4 linked regions of the Drosophila melanogaster genome follow. The protein of the gene in region 3 interacts with the protein of the main gene of each other region in a pairwise test. Each region holds a gene or a part of one and is shown on either strand. Other genes may lie near its edges.

Region 1 (4,797 bases), on a different chromosome or scaffold from region 3:
AACGATATGTGTCCTTCAAGAAGTCGCCCAATATGTGTGGCACTCGAGTGGGCTATCAACCTCTGTCCTTTGGTCCGCACGAAGTTGTCCTTAACGAGAAATGCCTCACTATGCCGGCTGTAATTCAACACGAAACCCTTCACCTGCTGGGCCTTTTCCACGAGCAGAGTCGTCCCGATCGCGATGAGTACGTGCAAATCGACTACGACAATATCCCGAGGAAATACTGGTCGCAGTTCATGGCCATGGATCAGACAACCACCTTCAATGTTCCATACGATTACGAGAGCGTTATGCACTATTCGAAGAACGCCTTCGCCAAGGATCCCTCAAAGCCAACAATTCGTGCCCTAATCGGTGGTAAGGCTGTGGAGAGGGAAATGGGTCAGGTGCGAGGACCTTCCGAAGGGGATTGGACCAAAATTCGTTTGATGTACAAGTGCTAGAGTGGAGGAAGAATTCTGCGAGGACTAGGATTGGTTAATAAATATGTTGCGTTCTAAAGTGGATGTGTTTAAATGGAATGGTTTAATATGCAAACTTTCAGACCGATTGCATGGTTTTTCAATCTTTTATGGCTTTTCATTTAAGTCTATCACTAAGTCATTTAAGCCCCACCCACCCGAAAAGTGCTACCCGTTTAATGCTACCCAATCATTCAGTGTCCGTTAACTGGAAAAACGTTTTTCCAGCCTCTTGAAAATGGGTAGCCCCGCTCGAACATAAAGGAAATCCAAATCCAAGCCCAAGGCGAATGCATTTGATTTCACAGAAGTGCAAGTGTAAGTGTCAGTTAACTTTGAAGCAGACTAAGGAGCAGTTGGGGAAGAAAGCGGGGCTTCTCAATGCTGAATGGGGTCTGCCGTGGATTGGGCATGAGTCCAAACGACTGGGCAGCAAACAATCCGAATCCCTGGCACTTAATGTGCACTAAGTGCTTAAGAAGGCCGAGTGTCTGGAGCTGCCTATTAGAAGTCTCTCACTCCCCTGGCCAGTAACCACCCACTTTGGATCAGGATACCATTTCATGGATAGCAATTGCGGAATTTAAATAACCTTTTTAAATCCCTGACAGCTTTGCAAAAATCGAATTGTACGAGTTAAAGAATCAACCAAGCAAGAAGAAATTTTCATCTGCTTAAATTTAAAGAATATATCTTTGCTATAAAGAATCCAATTATTTTGACATGAATTATCTTATATGCCCAGATAGAAATAATATTTACTGAAATGTGACGAATATTATTTAATAGCTTTGACCTTTAAAGAAAACTGTCAGAAAACAAACCAATAAAAGCTAATAAATGTGCCGCATGGTAGTAAGAGAGTATTCCTGTATCTCCACTAATAATTTAGCAACAACATACAACGAATGTGTAAATGTTTGCTTAAAGGAGAATATAAATAACAAACAAAAGAATAAACGCTGTAGTTTACCCTTTTGAGTGGTACAAAATAGCACTATTGGCAAGTGTTGAGTTCTGCAAAGCGGGGCAAAGAGTTGTGGCTTCGTAAGGATGCCAACAGATGGCCATTAAATGCTTGCCTTAAGAGAGCCGGATATCAAAGAGACTCCACATGTTTCGGGAAGTTCGAAAGTGCCATCGGTGAGAGTGAAGACCGACTGGAAGTGAGCTGGCAGGATGAATACATTTTGGCCCACTGTTCTAGGCGGAAAAGCTCGCTCTCTCGCCGAAAAAGGGGAAGAGGAAAATGGGAGCTTTGGCTGGTCGCCTGGCTTTTCAAGCCGACGCCGTTCGTGTGGCTTTCAGTGTATTCAGTGCAGTCGTATCGTTCGGTTCGTTCTCACGGTGAAAAGCGGTGGAAGGTCCTGTTCGGAGGACAACCTCAATACGCCACTCACACACGCACAAGTGGGCTTACTCACACGGACACGGGTGCGCTAGTCGAAAGTAAAAGTTGTCCAGTGTGCCATAAAGGTAAATAATAAATGAGCCAATGTGAAATATACGCACGCAATGTGAAAGCAACGAAATATATGAAGAAATCTACGGAAAAATGAAAATCTAGACCTGCGTGCCAGTGTGCAAAATCAAGTATGCAACACTTAAGTGAAACGAATATCCCAAAATAAAGTGTGCAAGAGTGCCAGCGATCCTTGAATATTCGAGTACCAAACTAAAATACTAAGCCAGACTAAAACTAAAAACCGAACCTGCCCCAACTGATCCTTCACCTCAATTCTTACCTATCAAGGCCACACGGCGGCTGTGGCATATTAACGTTGCACTCGTTGCACGTTGCACATACAGCCAACTCACACAAAAAATGTTATTCATCTTCGCGTGCTGTTTTGTTTTTTAAGACCGCCAAGGTCGTCCAGGAATACGTATATCTCTTAACGCGGTCCGAGAATTTTAGAAATAATTATAAGAAATACTTTGGGGTTTCCTTTTAAAATTTCTCGGAAAATGTTGCGATTTTCCCTCGTCTGAACTTTTGCTTTTTAACTTTTTTCTTTCGCCTTCCCTTTGGGGCTCATAAATTAGGGTCGCATTCCGCTTAACCGGGAATATTTGCATAAAATGGGAAAAAGGGCGAGAAATGGTTTAAATACGGGAATCACACGGCTGAGATATTCAACACATGAAAAAAAGGGGGCATATAAAATGAGTTCACAGGCCTTGATGGGTTGAGATAAAGCAAACATTAAAGTCCCTTTATTTAGATGATAAAAAATTGAAAAACAAAAGTGAAAATTAGCACTGCGAAAATTCCAAGGTTCATAAAGATTCGGTACCGAAACTTTTGAGTTTTATCAAAAACCCAAACATCGAAAAATTTGCAACAAAACAGGATCAAAGGACAACAGCAGCGCAGCAAAGGTGAGCCCTTTTAATTTTATTGAGCCAATTATCCAATAATTTCATTAACTAGTTAACACCAATAATCATGTATTTCCTTACAAAAAAAAAAAAAAAACAAAAACACATATCAACCAATGTGTCATTGTTTGAGTTTGGGTGGTGCGTTGGTTTTCCCAGTGGCGGAAAAGCCAAGCCAACGGGTGGTACGGTTACATTTTTATTTATTGTGATATTTTTTTTCGCTGTTTCTCTTTGCTGTGGTTAGAAGTTGTTCAGGAAAAAATGTTGCCGGTGGGAGGAGCTTGGATTGTTAGCTCAATTTAATTATGAAAATGCCAAGAATTTCTCTGGGCACACACGTGCCTAAACATACAGGTGGGTGGTATTCCAATCAACTTATTTTATTAAATGTTGTGGGGGAAGGACACCAAATTTATGCTCCTAAAAGCTTATATTAAGACTCACTGATGGAAAGGTGTTATAAATAATAATGACTATTTTTAATTAATATACAAACGGAATATTATAAGTGTTATAAGTATTTGAGAGCTACTTGTTGGTTAATTAAAATTTTATCAGGCAACTGAACATAAACCTGATTCAGTTACTACGAACTGAAATTTTGTTCTTCGGAAACATACTAATAAGCCTATTTAAACTCTTTTAAGTTCTTGAAATTAATTAGCTAATGATCCATTATTTATAATGAAACATTATTGCTAAGAACCATAAATTCGCGATGGGTAAGGCTTACATTTAAATAGGTCACGTGAAATGCCTTCGTTTTCAGTTTTACTAAGAGTCGTAGCTTTCCACTCATGTGGCACATATTTCTGTGGCATCCACCACAAATTTCCATTACTGAGATTGCCTTAGAAAATATGCTTAGATGCTACACCTTTGACCACTTTCCCAACACCATTACCTGTGAGCTCAGGGAAAAGGTAACTAAGACTTTCCGCCCGACAAGATTGCCATTTTATGCTAGACATTTTCTAAGAAAATAAAACAACATTTTATTTACACGCTGCTTCAGCAAGGTCACTTATTATGGAACTTTGCGCGTCAGAAAGTTGCCCAAATACATAAATTATTTTTATTGTACTTAACCTTTTTTTTTTTTGCCTTGACTTTCCCTATTCATTGTCTGGCCCAAATCAGCTTAAGTCACACAGAAAAGAAATTCATAAGCTTGCTTTAAGATGCGAGTAACCGAAAGATACAAATAAGTGAAGTAGGCCGAACAGAAAATAGGCTTTAAAAGCTGTTTGGTTACTCTATAAAATATTTCGGTTGAGCTTATAGAATTTCAGAACGACATTAATAACCCTTCTTTCGTTAGAAAAAAAAGGGTTATAATATTGAGCCAAATTATAAGCAAAAAATTGTATTTTATGTGCATGGTTTCCTACAATTCATCGAATTGGATTGATACAAAAAGTAACTGTAGCTGATTAAACTTGCTTATGACTCTATGACCTGAATATATTTTCCCATTTAATCAGCTTACAATTGTTGCAATATTTTTTTAAATGGCACAATAAAGTTGAAAATGCAATGGAAGTGCAACACAAAACGCGTCCATTATATTTGTTTTGGCATTGACATATTTACTTGATTTAAATTTTTATGAATACCCTTTTGTTTACTTGTGAAACTCTTTGAGCGTACAATTTTGAATGAATGAAATATTATGCAAATGTTTGATAAATAGCAGGAAATCAAAAGCAAACAAAAGGAGAAAATTGTTAAGCAAAAATATAATTGATGGCAATCGCACACAATTGCAGCCGAGCGAAGACATAATTAAAAGAAATATATATGTATATGTATATATGCGTACGTATGGGTGTATTAATCAAACATAATTACTCTGGTCATGCATATTTGATTAATCGGTTAAAAGGAAGGTCCTGTGGTCGTGTTCCACTTTTGTTTGACCTGACAGCTGTCGCTTTAAATGTCAATG
Region 2 (4,596 bases), on a different chromosome or scaffold from region 3:
GGATGCCGGTGCTCAGGATTCCCAGTACACCGAACAAATGCTACTGGAGCAGCTTAAGCTATGTGCTGACTTCTTGGATCGCGCTGAAAGATTTGAGTGCCTTGGAGAGCTCTACAAACTCATCCTGCCCATGTACGAAAGAGATCGTAGTTACCAGGACCTGGCACACTGCTATGAGCATCTCACGCAAGCCTATAATAAAATAGTTGAAGTGAATCGGTCAGGAAAGAGAATGTTGGGTCGCTTTTACCGTGTTGTATTTTATGGATTAGTGAGTAATCTACAGAATACCCTTAAAATTAATATTAAATTTAATGCTATTTTTAGATGTACTTTGAAGAAGATCATGCCATCGAGTTTGTGTACAAGGAGCCCAAGCTAACATCACTCAGCGAAATCTCTGAGCGACTTGCCAAACAATACAAAGAAAAGTTTGGAGCCGATGTAGTTAAGATGATCATGGACTCATCACCGGTAAGTATAAAAATTACACTTTCTTTAAATTTTTCCCAGTCTTGGTTTCAATTTTAATTTTAACATAACCTAGGTATTTTTGGATTGGAAAAACTAATTTTTGAAAGGGAAGCAACAAATCCATATAACTTATTGCAAATCACTTGAAGAGATATTCGTTGTATAGCAGATCCGAATCACTGTCGGCGCGCATCAAACTCATGCGCTACAATGGAGTATATATATATATTATATTATTTGTGAAATTGGAGTTGCGAGAGGGTTTACCCGCTTGACCTCGGACTGTCGCATCATTGAGGCGTTTGTGCTTCTTGGCATCATTCGCTGTGGGTTGCCATTGGTTTGCTTTGGATTAGACATGGCAATCCTGCTGGCCGTAGACATTTTTCCTGACTTGCAACTAAAGATATAAAGGAATAGAAAATATAAAATAGACAGTTTACAGGCACATAATAATAGACTATTAAAAGTTCTTCTTTCAAGGTAGTTTGAAGTAGATCTGTAAGCATTTAATGATCACAAATTTTAACTCACATATGATTTAACTTGGGTTTTTGTACGTTTGTACCAGATTTTCCTAGTTTTGTATCGCGACCTGTTGAAAGTCGTTGCGAACTGCCAGATGGCTGGTAAATTTTTGATTTTGCTTCAGTCAACCTATTTTGCTTGCGGGCAGCCCCGGTTGGGCACGAATCCATTTGCAGCTTTCGAGGGGCAGCCGATCCAGCTTGGTGGTGGCAACCAACTGCAATAGTCCGAAAATGTGAAGTCGTGGGTGAGCCCTTTGACGGCTGCATCATTGAACGGACTGCCCTGTTATTGTAGCCACTCTGTTGACCACTAGATCCTGCCCCACGAGCCGAGCATTTGGCTTTGGCTGTTTTGTACACCCGAGGAAAGGTTGTCGGCACACTAGTAGTTACCACGGTCTTGGGCTTCGTGGTAGATGGTAAATCCAACTCGAACTCATCTACCTCCATAGCTTCAATTTTTTGTTGATTTTCACTCAGTTCGTTGACCAACTGGCATCCCTGAGAGTCTTCGTATCTAAAAATATAAATCACAATAATTGTTGTATTCCCTTCACTTAACTTAAGACCCACCCACCTGTAAAGCTTTCCCCTCAAATATTCATTAGAAATAGATGGATGTTGACCTCCATTCGCGGTCAGTTCACAACCGTTGAAACTGGATTCGTCATCTCCTCTATAAGCCTTGGCCTCTACATTAGATTCCATTTCGTTCTTGGACATGCAAAGGGTTATACTAGATGACTGTGCCGTGGGTGGAGGGACCACTGTGGAGGGGCGGTTAACCTGGATCTGATCTCGGCTTACGATCAAACCCAGCCTGTGGCACAGCTCCTTAAAGGCTTTGTGAGAAACTATGTCTTGGTAGCGAGTTGATTCCGTAAAGGTGAAAAATTTCTCAAAAGCCTTTATGCACTCGATTTGGTTTTCGATTTCCAGCTCCGTATAGCTGCGATTTGAGCACAGGGTGCATCTGGGACACACGGATCCATCGCCACCGTATTCATACTTCTCGTTCAAAAGATCGTTGACCCGGATGAGGAATTGGGCAATTAGAACGGTCTCAGGTCTGTTCGCCAACTTCGCCTGATCGCCCACAGCCAGCTGGAGGCACTGTTTACTGTGGTTTACTAGAGTATTTCGGTCCAAAGGCTGCATCTGATCGTGCTCTTTGGTGGTGAAAGTCATACTAAGACCTTGTCCTCCTGGTAATACACCAACCGCGATCTCTTCCAGAGGCATTTGCTCGTCTCCCAGTTGACTTAGGGTGTCAAAGATCTGGCGCTCGAGAAAAATCCCATTTTCAACACGATTCACGGCATCACCAACGACCTCGGGACGCAGCAATGTTGTAGTTGAGGTCGCCTCCGTTTTGGTCGATGGACTTGGAGGCTCGGATTTCTGGCGAAAAGATGGCACGAATTCCACTGCGTTCGGATTTAGCGAGTACTCCCTCCTACATGGGATTGGTATCTGCATCTGCGGCATCTGGACCAATCCCAGACCCATCGCACGAGCCGGGAACTCAAAGAGCTGCTCCATAAGGGAACGGACAATGTATTGTGAAATAGTTACCGTATGTCCGACAATCTGATGAACTTATGGTTTGTGCCAAAAGAAGGAACTCGATCTCTACAAAATTTTGGATATTTTTGCGGTTCTAGTGTGCGGATTGTGGTAGTTGTATAAAAATAACAAACAATTTACTAGTACCTAGTAAAGTTGCTGAGCTATTTGAACCAAATCTGTTGAAGGTGGGAAGTATTCTGAAACAAACTTCATTCTGATATTTGCTGGAGGGACGACTTGATCTCGAAGTTACTAGTGTATGTCCACCATTGATTGCATTATTATTGCATTATATTATTATTTATTATTATTTATAGACGATTTTTTAAGACAAACAATTAAGTATTATAAAATTTTACAACTCATTTTTTCAGGTTAAAGTAGACGAACTAGATGCCAAACTTGCCTACATACAGGTCACCCATGTGATTCCTTTCTTCTCCAAGGACGAGCTAGACCAAAGGCTAAATGAATTCGAGCAGAATCATGATGTGGATACTTTTATGTACGAGACTCCGTTCACCAAATCGGGTGCAGCCCGTGGCAGCGTAGAAGAACAATGGAAACGCAAGACGGTTATAAAAAGTATGTAAAAACCGTCTTTAATTTCATTTGTACCATATTAAAGCATCAATTATTGCAGCTCAATACTCCTTCCCATATGTTCTTAAACGTATACCCGTCAAATCCCGTGAAATCATAGAACTGAGCCCCATTGAGGTGGCCATCGATGAAATGCAATCCAAGGTTTCAGAGCTGGAGGAGATCATACTCCCACCGGCCGATGTGAAGAAGTTGCAGCTGCGTCTGCAGGGAAGTGTGGCGGTGACTGTAAATGCTGGTCCTTTGGCCTACGCTCATGCCTTTCTCGATGCAAAGGTGGTTAACAACTTCTCAATGGATCGCGTCGGAGATCTCAAGGATGTTTTTCGGTATGCATTTCTAGTGACTAGTGCTTTACGTTTATTAATTGTGGTCTCTTTCTTGCAGCGACTTCATTGTGGTGTGTCAGAAGGCCCTGTTCCTCAACGAGCGGATCATCAGCGCTGACCAGAAGGAGTACCATCATGTGCTCAAGGAGAACTACGAGAAGCTGTGCCAGGCGCTCAGTGAGTTGCTGGACGACGAGTCCTTCCAGCCGCTCGGCGACGATGCCGACAGCATAAACCAGCGCAATAGCATGGCTTTGTTCAATGCGATCAGTGGCGCCTCCCATAACTCAAGTACTGCTTAAGTCCAACGAAATCATAATAAGATATCAAAATTCTGAAACTCAGTCACCCACACGCACGGCTAACCAGAAACCAAACCGATTGTTGAAGTATTCAAATAACACGAGCCCGATACGTAGGCGTAGAGATTGTAATGCGTTATCGTAACCACAACGTAGTCATAACATAGGCTCTCTTGGTGTTCCTTTGTTTGAAGTTGTCGTTGAATTTGAAATTGTCTTGCGGCAGGTAAAGCTCGATTTTGGGCTTAATGGTTTGCGCCTCGGCTGAGGAAATCCCCATGTGACTAACACCACAAAAAACATAAACAATCCAAATTTGGTGGCTTTTAATCCGAACCGAAACTAACCGTAAGCGCTTTCTGACAAAATTCGGCTAATCTAACTAAATGTTCTGTGACATTTATTAACGAGTTTGTATTAACGAGTTTGTAATTCTCCCGTTTTAGGACCGTATTTTGTTGATCAAAATACCAGCAACAGCACCCACCACCACAGTTCCCACATAAACACACAGAACTCCACACACCATTCATAACCGATAACCGAACAATATATTCTGTGCTAAACGACCAGTTCCATAAGTTCCAGTTAACCGATATTACATATTACTTGTTAATTTGACTATGCTTAAGCGACTATGATTTAGATTCCCACTTTATTGTTGTTAGATTTTTATGTTGGACAATTATAATTACAAAAAATATGTGTACATTTTTTCATAGCATGCAAGAAATCGAGAGGAGCCTGAAAATAGTTTTAAATTTAGGCTTAAAACTTGTATATTATTAT
Region 3 (5,050 bases):
CTCTTTCTTCGATTTTTTTTTTTAACATTTTCTTTTTTTTTGTGCAATTCCAAACAGCTGCCAGTTTAGCTTGCGTTTTTATTTATGTTTTGTGTAATCGGGGCCGCTCCTCAAGTTCTTATAAAGAGATAAACTAAAAGCTTAACGCCGCCTGCCGAGGAGAATCCCCAAACAGCCCAGCAATTGTTTGGTAACTCTGCAGCTTTTCTTTAATGGCCGCTCGAGGAAAATTCAAATTTTCCAATTTGTTGCTGTTGCAAACGCTTTTCAACGCTGCTTTTATTAACATTATCTAGACAGCCGAGATGGGCCGCAAAATGCCTTAGATCTCGGGAAAACTGCACTGCACCGTACGATCGATCGCACCCGGAGAATTGTGTGAGAAAATGGGGTGGGAAAAGGCGAAAGAAAAGCCACCCACTGTCGATATAATTTTCACGCTGCTCTCTGAGTTCAATAACCCAGTGCGATGGGAAATTATCGAATATATCTTATCTGACATATTGCCAAATATTTGCGTCGGGGTTACACATTTCATTCATTCCTTGGCTTTGTTTATTGTTCTGGCTGCCGGGCTCATCTTGATTTTTCCCACGAGACAACCAAGACAGCCATGACAGCCGTGATGGGTAGAAAAATCACGGCCAACAAAATACTCGCATGTGGTTTAATAGTGTGTGCTGTTTTGTGTTTCATTTGTTGATATTGTGTCGCTGTCTTTAATATTGCAAGATCATGACACATTTCCGCGGAGTTTGTATCTCGTTTACTTTCGACGTTGCCTCCCCACTATTTCATTGCGAATGTTTTTATTTTTTAACAAGATCAACAAAACGGCGGGGGGGGGGGGGGGGTATCGATCGCAATTTTTGTTTACACTTCACTTTGTTACTTTCAATCCAATTTAAGGAATGTTGTTGGCCTTTGTGGCTGCGTTTCTTCCCTAACAAAGTCGGAGATGAAAAGCGAAAACTATGCAACGTGTTCAACATCGACAGTTTGACATCTCAAAAGTCGCATGCCTCACCAACCCCCTTTAGCACACTGAGAAAAATATTGCACAATTTTAGATTTAATGGATTTATAATTACAGATACTGCTGAGTATAGCCTTCAATAATAATTTCATTTTATTTGATATCCTGTGACCATATTCCGTTTCTAATGGCCAATTACTCATTTGTGATCGATAACTGTGAGATACATGTACCTTTTTCCAGCAAGTTCAACTGTTTTTAACGCGAAAACTCATTTCAATAACAATTGCAGCGACCCAAAAAAGGCCAAAGGAAAAACTGCAACAGCAGAGCTCAATTTGCTGGCATGTCCAGTCTTTTGCTAATTGCTTTGCAGCTGCAAGGGGGCGGAGGCCACGCCCACACGTGCCCCGCAGACCCATTGCCCATATGAACAAATAGTATATATCCATATATATGTATGCATATAGCTATGGTTCATGTTGACCCGCGACCAAGCCGGACAAAAGTCATAAACCCAGTTACCGTTAGCTGCGTAATTTATGGAAATGACTTTGTCTAATTAGCAAAGTCGAGGAAAAACAAGAAAACCAACAACAAACTCCACCCCACTTTCCAGTGGCGTTAACCATAATAACATTTGTATAGACACTATGATACGCAGAAAGGCACGATCGCTTTCCACGGATCGTGCCCCAAACTTCGATTTCTGATTGCTCACCTGCCAAACGATATGTGTGAGAATGCAGAATGCACGTTGGGGCAAACAAAAAAAAAACGAAACTCATTTAGCCATATGTATGCATAATTGTTAGCCAAACTAGTCTAAACAATGGAAAGTATTGATACATCTATTTTTGATTTGTGTCGTTTTCCGCTTTGTCACATTATTTACACTAATTTTTGATGGCGATAACGTCACAAGATTTACATATTTATTTTGGTTGCATTCATGTCAGCAATAATGTTGGGCTATAAAATGTTCATTTCGATAGTGAAGAAAAATGGTTATATAAAATATATATATTTTAAACTTATCTAAAAGAGTAAAAATAAATTACAAGATTTCCGCAGAACAATCTTTGTTTACGCAAAAACGAAGCAATGAATTAATCCTTTATCAGATCATTGTTGAAAGAAATAAAATTTATTGAGCAATTTATTGCCATTTCGAAATAAATAATTTGCATTGAAGAAAACACGGAAACAAATTACACTGTCTTAAACACTTTTTATCAAGGTGCAAATTACCGTAGAAAATTACCAAGAAAATTATCACAAATTGTACATTGAAAACTACTCAGAATTATTGACAATTATTTAATAAAGACATTGTCTTGAAGTTCTCACGATAATTAATTCTTAGACCATTTATGGCATTGTTTGGCAGCCAAAGCGCATATGTAAATGGTAAGCCAACTTAGTTAGCCGCTCCACAAAAATGCAAATTACGTCCATAAGTGACATGTAACTCCTAGACAGGATAGGCAATGCGATTTTGAGCAAGATTAATGCACTAGGAAATGTCGCACCGCGCTTTGACACACATTCAAATCATAAGTAATTGCAATTAATTAAAGCTATTTGCATGTGACTTACACACGGCGAACAAATTCCAACTGACCCAGCCAGTGTTCAGAGAAAAACAGAGATAATCTTGCCCAGATTTAAAATTCCTCTTTATAGAGATGACCCGAAACACGCGCGAATAAATCAAAGCACAATTATGCCAAATTTGCAATCACAAACAATAAATTGAATTGAGTTTTCGCGCTGACATTAAGCAGATACGCGGCACTGTGCCTTTTTTGTACAATAAAATATTTTAATGGCCGTGAATGGGCCTTTTCGAAACATACTATATATATATATTTGTGAAATATATACGGCTCTTGTGATTTTCCGGATTCTGCGTTAGCCGCTTCCGTATGCCAGGCACAAAAACCGAGCGAACTGGCTGCGATCTTTGAGATACAAATTTCCAGCTGGCGCGGCGGAGCTAACGAAATCCAAACCGATCGCTTAGAAGTCCCGAGACGAACTGAAAATGCACAGCCGAAACCGAAAGTCCAGTTAACGATCGGCGATCGACGGCGCTGCCAGTGCAGTCGGAAAGTGGAGCCAAAAGTATATAGATTGTATACTCTGAACACTCCGAACATCGGTAAATATTTAGTTATTTTCTTAAACATTGATTCATTCATATATCAGTAGCACACTTTACTTTTTGTTTACTTCTTTGGAATCGGGATAACTGTAGATGCCGTAGAAAATACGTCGAGTTTTCTGAAATCTACATATATATTTGTTTTTAAAAATATCTTTACCTGATATTTTAGCAAAATTTTGAAAAGGGTAAATTTCTCTAAAATAAGAAGCCACACAAACTTCTACAAATATGTAAGATTTTACTACTCAATTTATCTTGCTAAATATCAGTGGAATTTTAATATGTTTCTCAGGTGTATTCTTATTAGTCTGTATATAATCTGTATATATTTTTTTACAGCTAGAAATAGCCAGCTGGTCTGCACTGTCAGACCAGTCGAAGCCCATGTTCGGTGCACATTGGCTGGTTCGCTCAAACGAAATTGGACCGATGGGGGCACAAGTTGGCTTCCTTTGTTCGATGCAACTGTGGAGCGGATGAATTCGCCAGGCGGAAGAACTCTTTGTGGTGGGGCTGAGGGGCGCAGTGGTGGGTGGTGGGCGGCGCAGTGGGCAGGTATGCCCTCGGCTGGTCGTTGGCTGGTTTTTGAGTGCGTTACAGCTGTTTTGTTTATAGGAGGATCATCTCTGCACTCTCTGCACAGTTCAAACTATTTGGAAGTTGCGGTTTGTGCTTTTTATGGTCCGCCGTTGTTGTTCTTGCGGCCACGGCTGCTTTTGTTGCATCTTCTTCGGTCGGTGGCAAGTTGTTAAGTTAAATATTTACCCACCGCTGCCGGGCAGCCAGTTTAGGCCACGGCTCGCTGATCTTTCACATCGAGAATCCGAGTCCCAGAGCGAAGAAGAACTCGTTTCCAGCCCTTCTGTCCATATCGGGTGCTGGATCTGTCGTTGTCATCATAAGAGTGCTACTGTCAACCACACTCGAAAAATGCCACTAAGTCTAGATTTAATCAAAAATTCATGGGTTAAACATGATAAAGGTTTTAAATGTACTTTAATTCATGTCCTAAGTAAGTCTGTTATATTATATATGTACAGTACTTTCCTTAAGCATAATCACTTTTGTATATAACTTTTTTGATTGTGCTAGATACAATAGTTTCGCCAAGTGCATTGCCACATACTATTAGCCACTGGCAACAGAATAGCTGCCCACTGTCTAAATGCTGAGCACATTGGACATGTCAAAAGGATTTGCGCCTGCGCTGTGGAACATCCAGCATTCAGCATTCGTCCGTGCGAATCCATCCCATAAACTGGTTGCACATTCCCTGGCCAACAGAATGGTCATAAATCGAACAATGTGCCAGCCATTGACAGTTCGCTTAGCTGCACAAAGGTACTACGGTCTTCTCTTAATATTATGTGTGTGTTGCTTCGGTTTCCTCGCCGCCGACAATCACAATTTATTGGGCTATTAGCTGCCACTTGAGTGGGGACTTTGGGTTTGGGGAACACCCACGCCGCGTTCCCAAATCGAATTCAAATAAAGCATAAAAGCATAAGAGCTGAGATAACAAAGCCGGGTACCCCGCTCAGACAATTAACTGATAACAATTCATTAGCATTTCGTGTGGGTTGCCCATCGCCTTCGTCATAATCACGATCTTTTTCATCAGTTGCAGCAGCTCTGCATTGGAGTTTAGGTAATTTGACAGCCATTTGATGACCGACAACATGTGGCCAAAGTGTATCTTCTTAACTGGTTTAGGTGGGAAAGCATAATGGATTCGATTTTGTTACAGGCAATATATTTTTAATGAGAAGTATGAAAGACAAGCCATGCTTAAAAGGTTTACTAAGGTTAAGAACCATAACTTCGTTACGATTGTTATGTATTTAGCATTTTATTTGAAATTAACATGTTATTGCTCGCATGTGCTAATTTTAATTCAGAGCAGA
Region 4 (7,059 bases), on a different chromosome or scaffold from region 3:
AAAAAAAATCAGCACAACCACATGTTCTCTATCTTAGCCATTATCATGTTCGATCCGTTATACAAATAGTCGCGGACTTCAGCAAGGCATAAATCTATTCGCGCCATTCAAAGCCAGAAATTGAACATTAATAACATACTAGAAAAGCCATATCGAATACGAGTAGAATACATCTCCAAGTATATTTAGAGATCAACATCAGCGGCGCAGTCCGCAAAAAATATTCTCACTGTTGTGGCTCGTCAATTCGGGTGTTTTTGAAGTGCCGTGTGTCATATGCGAAACAATTTCAAAACCAAAATCACTCGAAAATAGACGCTGACTCGGTAAGTCTATAAATATTCTCGCCAATGCGATACCAAAACTAACGTAAACACACCTGGCTGAAGGCGATTTATTTGATATTTGTGTCTGAAACAAAAAAAAATTATATTAAAACAAAAAATAATTTATTTAGTTTGGCCAACCCCTTGGCAACGTATTTTCGTGGTCAACGTCACGGAGCATAAAACCATACCATACCTATAGGATGTCGAATAAAATGAATAGAAATGTGAATAATGCGCGCAAGTGGGCGTGGGACGGAATCATTAAAATTTTGTTCCCAAGGGGTTATTTCGGGTGGGGGGTGATCCTAAAAGTGCATTAGCAATAAGAACTTTGCTCTAGGTGGGTGGGTGAGTAAAGCATTTATTACACAACATTCTCAGCAGGCACGTGTTATAATTATTATAATATAACTAGGGATTCCTCACAAGTATATATGCGAATAAATACAATCTCTTAAGTTCTTCTCTTGAGTGAGAGTTTTGAGTGCTGTGAAAAGCTTTCGGGTCAGCTGTGTGAGGCATATTGGCATCATATTTATATTTAGAAAACCATTTCAGTACGGTTATGGAACATTTCGATGTTTTTCTCGAGAGGCCACACACACACACAACCAAGGATTTATTCCTGTACGTATATGTAGGGAACGTTCTTTGTGCGTATGTTGAGCAATTATTTTTCACGATGTTTGTCGGCCGAACAAGCTATATATAGACCAGATGAGCTGGCTCAATCCGAACCGAACGATCCCGAAACAAACGGAATTGAACTCAACCCAACCACCCACCGGTCATTCCAATCAGATTGCCAACCAACCATTTAGATGCAGAAATCTCAGGTATGCACACCCAATTAAATCAATTAAAACTACGAAAACCATTTCGAAATCATTTTGTTTTCATGGAACCCACTGGGGCATATATTATTGGATGTTATGTGTGTGTGTGTGTGTATGCAGAACATGTACGCTGATGTATATATATATAAATAAATATTTTATATCTGCCATGGCTGGCATCCCAAACAGAATGCAAGAGATTAGATGGGTGAGAAATCATTCAAACATCATTATAAATAATCAGATTTCATAAGTATATCGTAAGAACTAAATCAGCTAAATATACAACATCATATCTTTCATCATTGTTCGTCGTAAGAGTATATTTATGTGTATAAAATTTTTCCATTTGCACAAAGTATGCTTTTGGGTAATTCGATTTGGAGCATAAGACATACTTGGCTGGTCTTCGAAAATAAATAGTTTAAGATACAAAAAAGTAATAACGACTTTGGCTCGCAGCAGTTTCACCTGCAGAAAGTTTTGCTTTTCTCGATGTGGTCAATGTCGTTTAGTTCGTTAGTCTGTGTTCGATGGTTAGTTTCGCTTTGAGTCGTAAGTTTTATGTTTTTGGCATTTATTCTTTTTTTCTTGTTTTCATATTAAACTTAATCTCACATAACCTAAAGAAAATTGAATTGCATTCAGTGCATCGTTGATCAAAAATCGTTGGAAGCAAAACGAAGACTAAGTTAGCTAATTTCAGGGATAGTTAGTTAAAACAGATTGGTCATTAGACAGATGCATCGGAACGGTTCACAGACATGGATGTGGGTTTCGATTGGATATACATAAAATAGGCTCGTTTAGAACGTTGTCAAAGCGCCCGCGCCCAGACCGTAGCCCACTCCCTTGGGTCCAAAATTGCGGCCGTAGCAGGCTCGGCAGTAGATATCGCCGTCGGGTCCATCGTTCAGGTTGGTCGAGTCCAGCGATTTGCGGCAATCCGAGCAGTAGAAGCACCTCTTGTGCCAGATCCTGGTCTTGCTGATCATCTGCTCGGCGGCGAACACGGCGAAACCGCAACGCGGGCAGCCGCCCGAAGTCTTGGGTCCGGCCAGAGGACGGCCATCTGGGAACTGGATGGTGCTCTCGCCACTGGTTGACACTAGAGTGGGGGCGTGGCCGTAACCAAAGCCCTTGGGGCCGAAGAGCTTGCCGTAGCAGGCGCGGCAGTGGATGTCGCCATCGGGTCCATCGCAGGCCAGGACCGAGTCCAATGGCCGGTGGCAGTCGGCGCAGTTGTAGCACTTCTTGTGCCACACCTTGCCCTTGGACAGCTGTTGCTCGGCGGCGAATACGGCTCCTCCGCACCGGGGACAGCCTTCGCCGTCACGGGCCTTAATTGACGTGGTGTCCGGGTTATAGAAGGGCCTGTTGGCGCTGATCTGATCCTCGGTCAAGCCATCGGTCTGCAGGAAACCAGAGCCGCATGCGAATCCATAGCCATGTGGTCCCCACTTCTTGCCGTAGCAGGTGCGGCAGTACACATCACGATCGGGACCATCACTGGCATTGATCGAGTCCAGAGTCTTGTGGCAATCCTTGCAGTTGAAGCACTTCTTGTGCCACTCCCGACCCTTGGAAAGCTTCTGCTCCGCTGCGTAGACCACACCGCCGCAACGTGGGCAACCCTCACCCGGACGGGCCTGGATCTTGTCCACATCAATGGCGGCACGGATTTGCGGTGCTCCGTCGTCGTGAGCATAGCAGTCGGACTGGAGAGCACCACCGCCCTGGCCATAACCATAGCCCTTGGGTCCAAACTTCTTGGCATAGCAGCCCTTGCAGTAGATGTTCTTGTCCGGAGCCTCGCAGCACAGGATCGAGTCCAGACCCTTCTTGCAGGTACCGCACTTGAAGCACTCCTTGTGCCAGCTGCGACCGCGGGCTAACATCTGTTCGGCGGCGTACACATAGCCACCGCAACGAGGACAGCCCTCACCTTCGGGGGCACGAGCAATAGCCCTGGGTTCCAGGCGGGCTCCATTCCTTACGGACGGCACATCGCCGTTCTCGCGCAGGAACTGTGACCCGTTGTCCATGGAGAGGGTGCCAGCTCCAGTGCCGAAGCCGTAACCTTTCGGCCCGAACTTGCGACCGTGGCACGTCTTGCAGTAGAGCTCGCGCTCGTGCTCTGTGCAGTTGGTGGAGTCCAGGGATTTGTTGCACATTCCGCACTTGAAGCAGTTCTTGTGGAATACATAGCCGCCAGCCAGACGCTCTTCGGCAGCGTAGACACTCTTGCCGCAGCGCGGACACTTGGGGGCCTCGATCGGTTGGAAGGAAGGCATTCTGTCTGTGTTTCGGTTTTTTTAACGCTATCAAAATGATCTACGCGAGTACAATTACTTTACTTATTAAGTTTATTATCTGAAATAGCAAAATAGAAGAACACATAGAGTCGATGGGATCGTGGCGTAAGTCCTGCTGGGAAATGCAGCAGAGTGGAAGCTTTGGTGGCGATGAAAGCGATGAGGTAAGCATCTGTCATTTTTGTATGTTAAATGGTTTCCAAATTATTCTAAGCCCAACTAGTTAATTCAAGCTAATCTACATGTTAACCTATTTGGACGATTAAGACGCTTGTTTTATCTTAAGTTTACAATGAACTATTACAAATTCAACTTGACAGTCGCGAATTTCTCCTCAATTTGCATTATGTAGATCATCTATCAAGATTCTTATCTGTCAGTCGAGACGTCATCGCCCGTGCCAGAAAATTACCCAACCGGACGTATGTATACGTAATTCATATTGAAGATTCCTATGTTAATGATCAGAAAATAACATCTTTCTCATGACAACAAAAAATAAAGGAGGAATTTTTCAAATCACAGAACACAGAGAAAAACATGAGCAATAAATGTGTATCTATCTATACAGAAAATGTTGTATAAAAATAACGCAGACAGGTAGATAGATTTGGGAAAAGCACACACAAAAAATAACTGTGGCAGATATATATATGTACATATCTGGGTGTTCTAAAACTGAGTCAGAGCTAAAGCACCACCATCAGATGAGCATCGTCCCTGGCCGGTAATCTGGTTATCTAGCGGTTGCGATGGATTAGTCAGGTGCTTTGCAATGGTCTTTTGCTGCGTGCAAAAAAATCGGTTAAGAGCTGGCGATATCCAACCGTTGGGTGTGAGTGTATTATAGCCAAGATAGAACGGAACCTACAACGCACTAAAACCACACACGGAAGCGCCGAGTACTGAACTGGAAGATTGCTCAAAGCAAACTAGTCTATATAATTGTGAGTGCACACGGCACGGCAACGCGGTCGACTTTTCGCCGCTGCCACTGAGTTTTCCTGCTCAGCACACCGAGTTGAGAAACTTAAGATGCGGCAACACGGAGCAGTTTTCCTTCGTTTTATTTCAGTTTTCATCAAATAACGCCAGAGAGTGGGATGGAAACATATTGGTATGCATCTGCGGTTTTTAAACTTTTTCGATTCTTCGAAAAAGTTTTTTATTCCATATCCTTCACTCGTTTTTTCTTGACCGTATCTCATTCTTGGATGTTTGCTAACTTTTGTGTATATTATATGCACATTTATCCCAGTGGGAGATTATCAAAGATGATCGAAAAGTTGCATATCATTGGAAACCTCAGGCATCTGGGAGTTTGTTTATATTCCCGACTAAATATAATACTTTTTGCATGCAATAAGATTATAAAACTCATCAAAATGTACGTGTTTTTTACGTCGAGTAAGGACTGTATCTTTAATTTTTCTCTATTCAAGGATAGTGACTATTCGATTTGATCTGATGAAAAGATGATCGATTTGTACTTGAATAAAACTCGATTGAAAAAAAAACTCCTCGCAAATAGTTCTCATTTTATTGAGTGAGACAGTTTCCGTAAAGTTTTTTCACACTCGAAAAAACGGAATCTATTAATAATAGTGTGTGGGAAAAATGCTTCCTGTGTGGAGCCATACATTCCTCCTCTCATTTGTGGGTCAAATTATGGTCCAAATTACGCACAAGTTCTAAATTTAAACGATCGCTTGACAAAACTGTATTTTCATCGCTTCGCGTTTGGTTTGTAGCAGAGCTTGAACCGATATTTTTTAGACAAGCACAACACAAAATATTGGAATTTACTGGGTTATGCGTGATTGGTTTTGGTTTTGGTTTTCGTTTTCCATTGACAAAAACTGATATTTACTTTTCGTTCGTAATAAAAAGGTTCGCAAGAGAAATATCCTTAATTTTAGTTTAGCTTCGATTAACAACGATTTTCGACTGATCGCGCTGAAAAATTTGTCAAGCGCTTTCAGTCTTTGTCTGCACACGGCACGAAGGCAACTTTGTCGCCAGAGAAAATGATAGGGATGACTATATAGCCCCAACAATAAATACATTAGCCATCCGAACAAGAATCCCAACAAATCACAAAATATCTGCTCTCACATATACAATATGCTAGTATACAAGAAAAATGTGCTTTCATAAATTGTATATACGGTCATTTTATAGCAGAATATTCCAGGTGATCGTGCTCATGACAAGGCGAAAAAGATGATGTTGGTATTTTATTGGACCAACAACATGGTTCAACTGTCTTGTTCAAAGCCACTGCCTGCCTGCCTTTCGGAACATTGGCACTTCAACATCAATAAATTAACATGCGCATTTGCATTTAATTAAAATTCGATATTTTGCCATGCATTTTTGGTTCAAAAGGAAATTAATGGGGCATGGGTACATCATTGAGCATCAATCAGATCGGCAAAATAGAACCAGACATGGCGGGGGCCAACTCGGCCAGAAAATACCTCTTAATATCATTACTAAGAATGATTTCATTTTGATATTAGTTCTAATGGTATGATTTTACCGATTATTTTAGTTTTGAAATCAAAGTAGTAGTAGTAAGTTTCTCAAATTTATAACAAACTAATTTAATATTTGATTTATTACAGTATTTCGATCGAAACACACACCATTTTAAAAAATGGATCGATCGAAAATTCCGAAGTTCAAGGGGTAGCATTGAAAAACACGGAATTTCTTAAAGACAAGAACGGGTGGGCAACACCTTTTGTATAATTAACGCGCACCTTCGGCAGAATTTCTCAAAACATTTTTAACATGCATTTGCAATTGCATTTCCACTTATAAGTATGATACAAAAATTGGCAAGGCGCCTGCGTTCAAAACTTTTGGCGAGTGAAACGAATATAGTAGTACTCTCTGTCCCACTCTTTAGGTTTGATCAGAGAAAAACTAAATGACAAGTTGTATACAAGTGTAAAAGATAATGGGAACCATCATTAATATAGCAACATTGTATCCAAAAAGAGAGAAAACACTTTAAGAGAATGTTTCGCAAAAATCACTCAAGAGATCCGAAACAAGTTTCCTTAAAAGTAAAAAAGCTTATATTAACTCAATATTTCGGAACGATAACTGAGTTGTTTATCATTCTATTAATAGTATGCTAAAAGATAAACAAAGAAAAAATCAACTTACCCTCTTGGAGCTCTTCTCGATTTCCTTCTCAAAATCTGTTAGAGGCGTCAGTGCAACTTGAACATCTTTGATATCATAGCGGGATATTAAGCTACAGAAACAACCGAAAAATATATTAGTGTGATTTTTTCTATACATTGTTTCAGTAGAAAAAGGTCTTATACGGGGTTATTTTAGTATTAGTATATTCTCTAATAAACGAAACGGATTCCAAAAGTTGCCTTTTTCAATGAAATTACAAAAACATATTTAAAAAGTCTGGTTTCTCAGTAACATTGGGCACTGTTTAATATACATTATGTTCTAATTATTACAATTTATTTAGAATAACAAAATAAAAGAGTTGTCTACACCGGGTGTTCGATAAATTAACAATTTTGCAAATCATAGATGTGCAACACA

What was found.
Region 1: the proteins of slow (region 3) and dpr9 interact in a two-hybrid assay, tested with the Drosophila melanogaster proteins (one large-scale study listed by BioGRID).
Region 2: the proteins of slow (region 3) and CG6441 interact in a two-hybrid assay, tested with the Drosophila melanogaster proteins (one large-scale study listed by BioGRID).
Region 4: the proteins of slow (region 3) and Mlp84B interact in a two-hybrid assay, tested with the Drosophila melanogaster proteins (one large-scale study listed by BioGRID).

What each region holds. Positions count from the first base shown.
Region 1 is NT_033777.3:15,074,179-15,078,975, reverse strand, and holds the start of dpr9 (defective proboscis extension response 9), read left to right. Parts: upstream 1-1,769; 5' UTR 1,770-1,940; intron 1,941-2,689; 5' UTR 2,690-2,846; intron 2,847-4,797. Other genes in the region: CG6974 (uncharacterized protein), read left to right, coding at 1-446.
Region 2 is NT_033779.5:7,472,857-7,477,452, reverse strand, and holds CG6441 (uncharacterized protein), read right to left. Parts: upstream 2,750-4,596; 5' UTR 2,547-2,749; coding exon 1,582-2,546; intron 1,522-1,581; coding exon 1,009-1,521; coding exon of another isoform or gene 1,005-1,008; exon of another isoform or gene 960-1,004; intron 875-959; coding exon 742-874; intron 680-741; coding exon 614-679; 3' UTR 501-613; downstream 1-500. Other genes in the region: Ziz (zizimin), read left to right, coding at 1-271, 328-474, 2,948-3,158, 3,217-3,505, 3,564-3,796, 4,254-4,342.
Region 3 is NT_037436.4:4,382,413-4,387,462, reverse strand, and holds the start of slow (slowdown), read right to left. Parts: upstream 3,022-5,050; 5' UTR 2,836-3,021; exon of another isoform or gene 2,576-2,835; intron 1-2,575.
Region 4 is NT_033777.3:7,112,301-7,119,359, forward strand, and holds Mlp84B (muscle LIM protein at 84B), read right to left. Parts: upstream 5,433-7,059; 5' UTR 5,351-5,432; intron 4,417-5,350; exon of another isoform or gene 4,352-4,416; intron 3,539-4,351; 5' UTR 3,460-3,538; coding exon 1,972-3,459; 3' UTR 550-1,971; downstream 1-549. Other genes in the region: Alh (alhambra), read right to left, coding at 6,658-6,748. UniProt on the Drosophila melanogaster protein: Plays a role in cell differentiation late in myogenesis. Transcription factor Mef2 is essential for expression.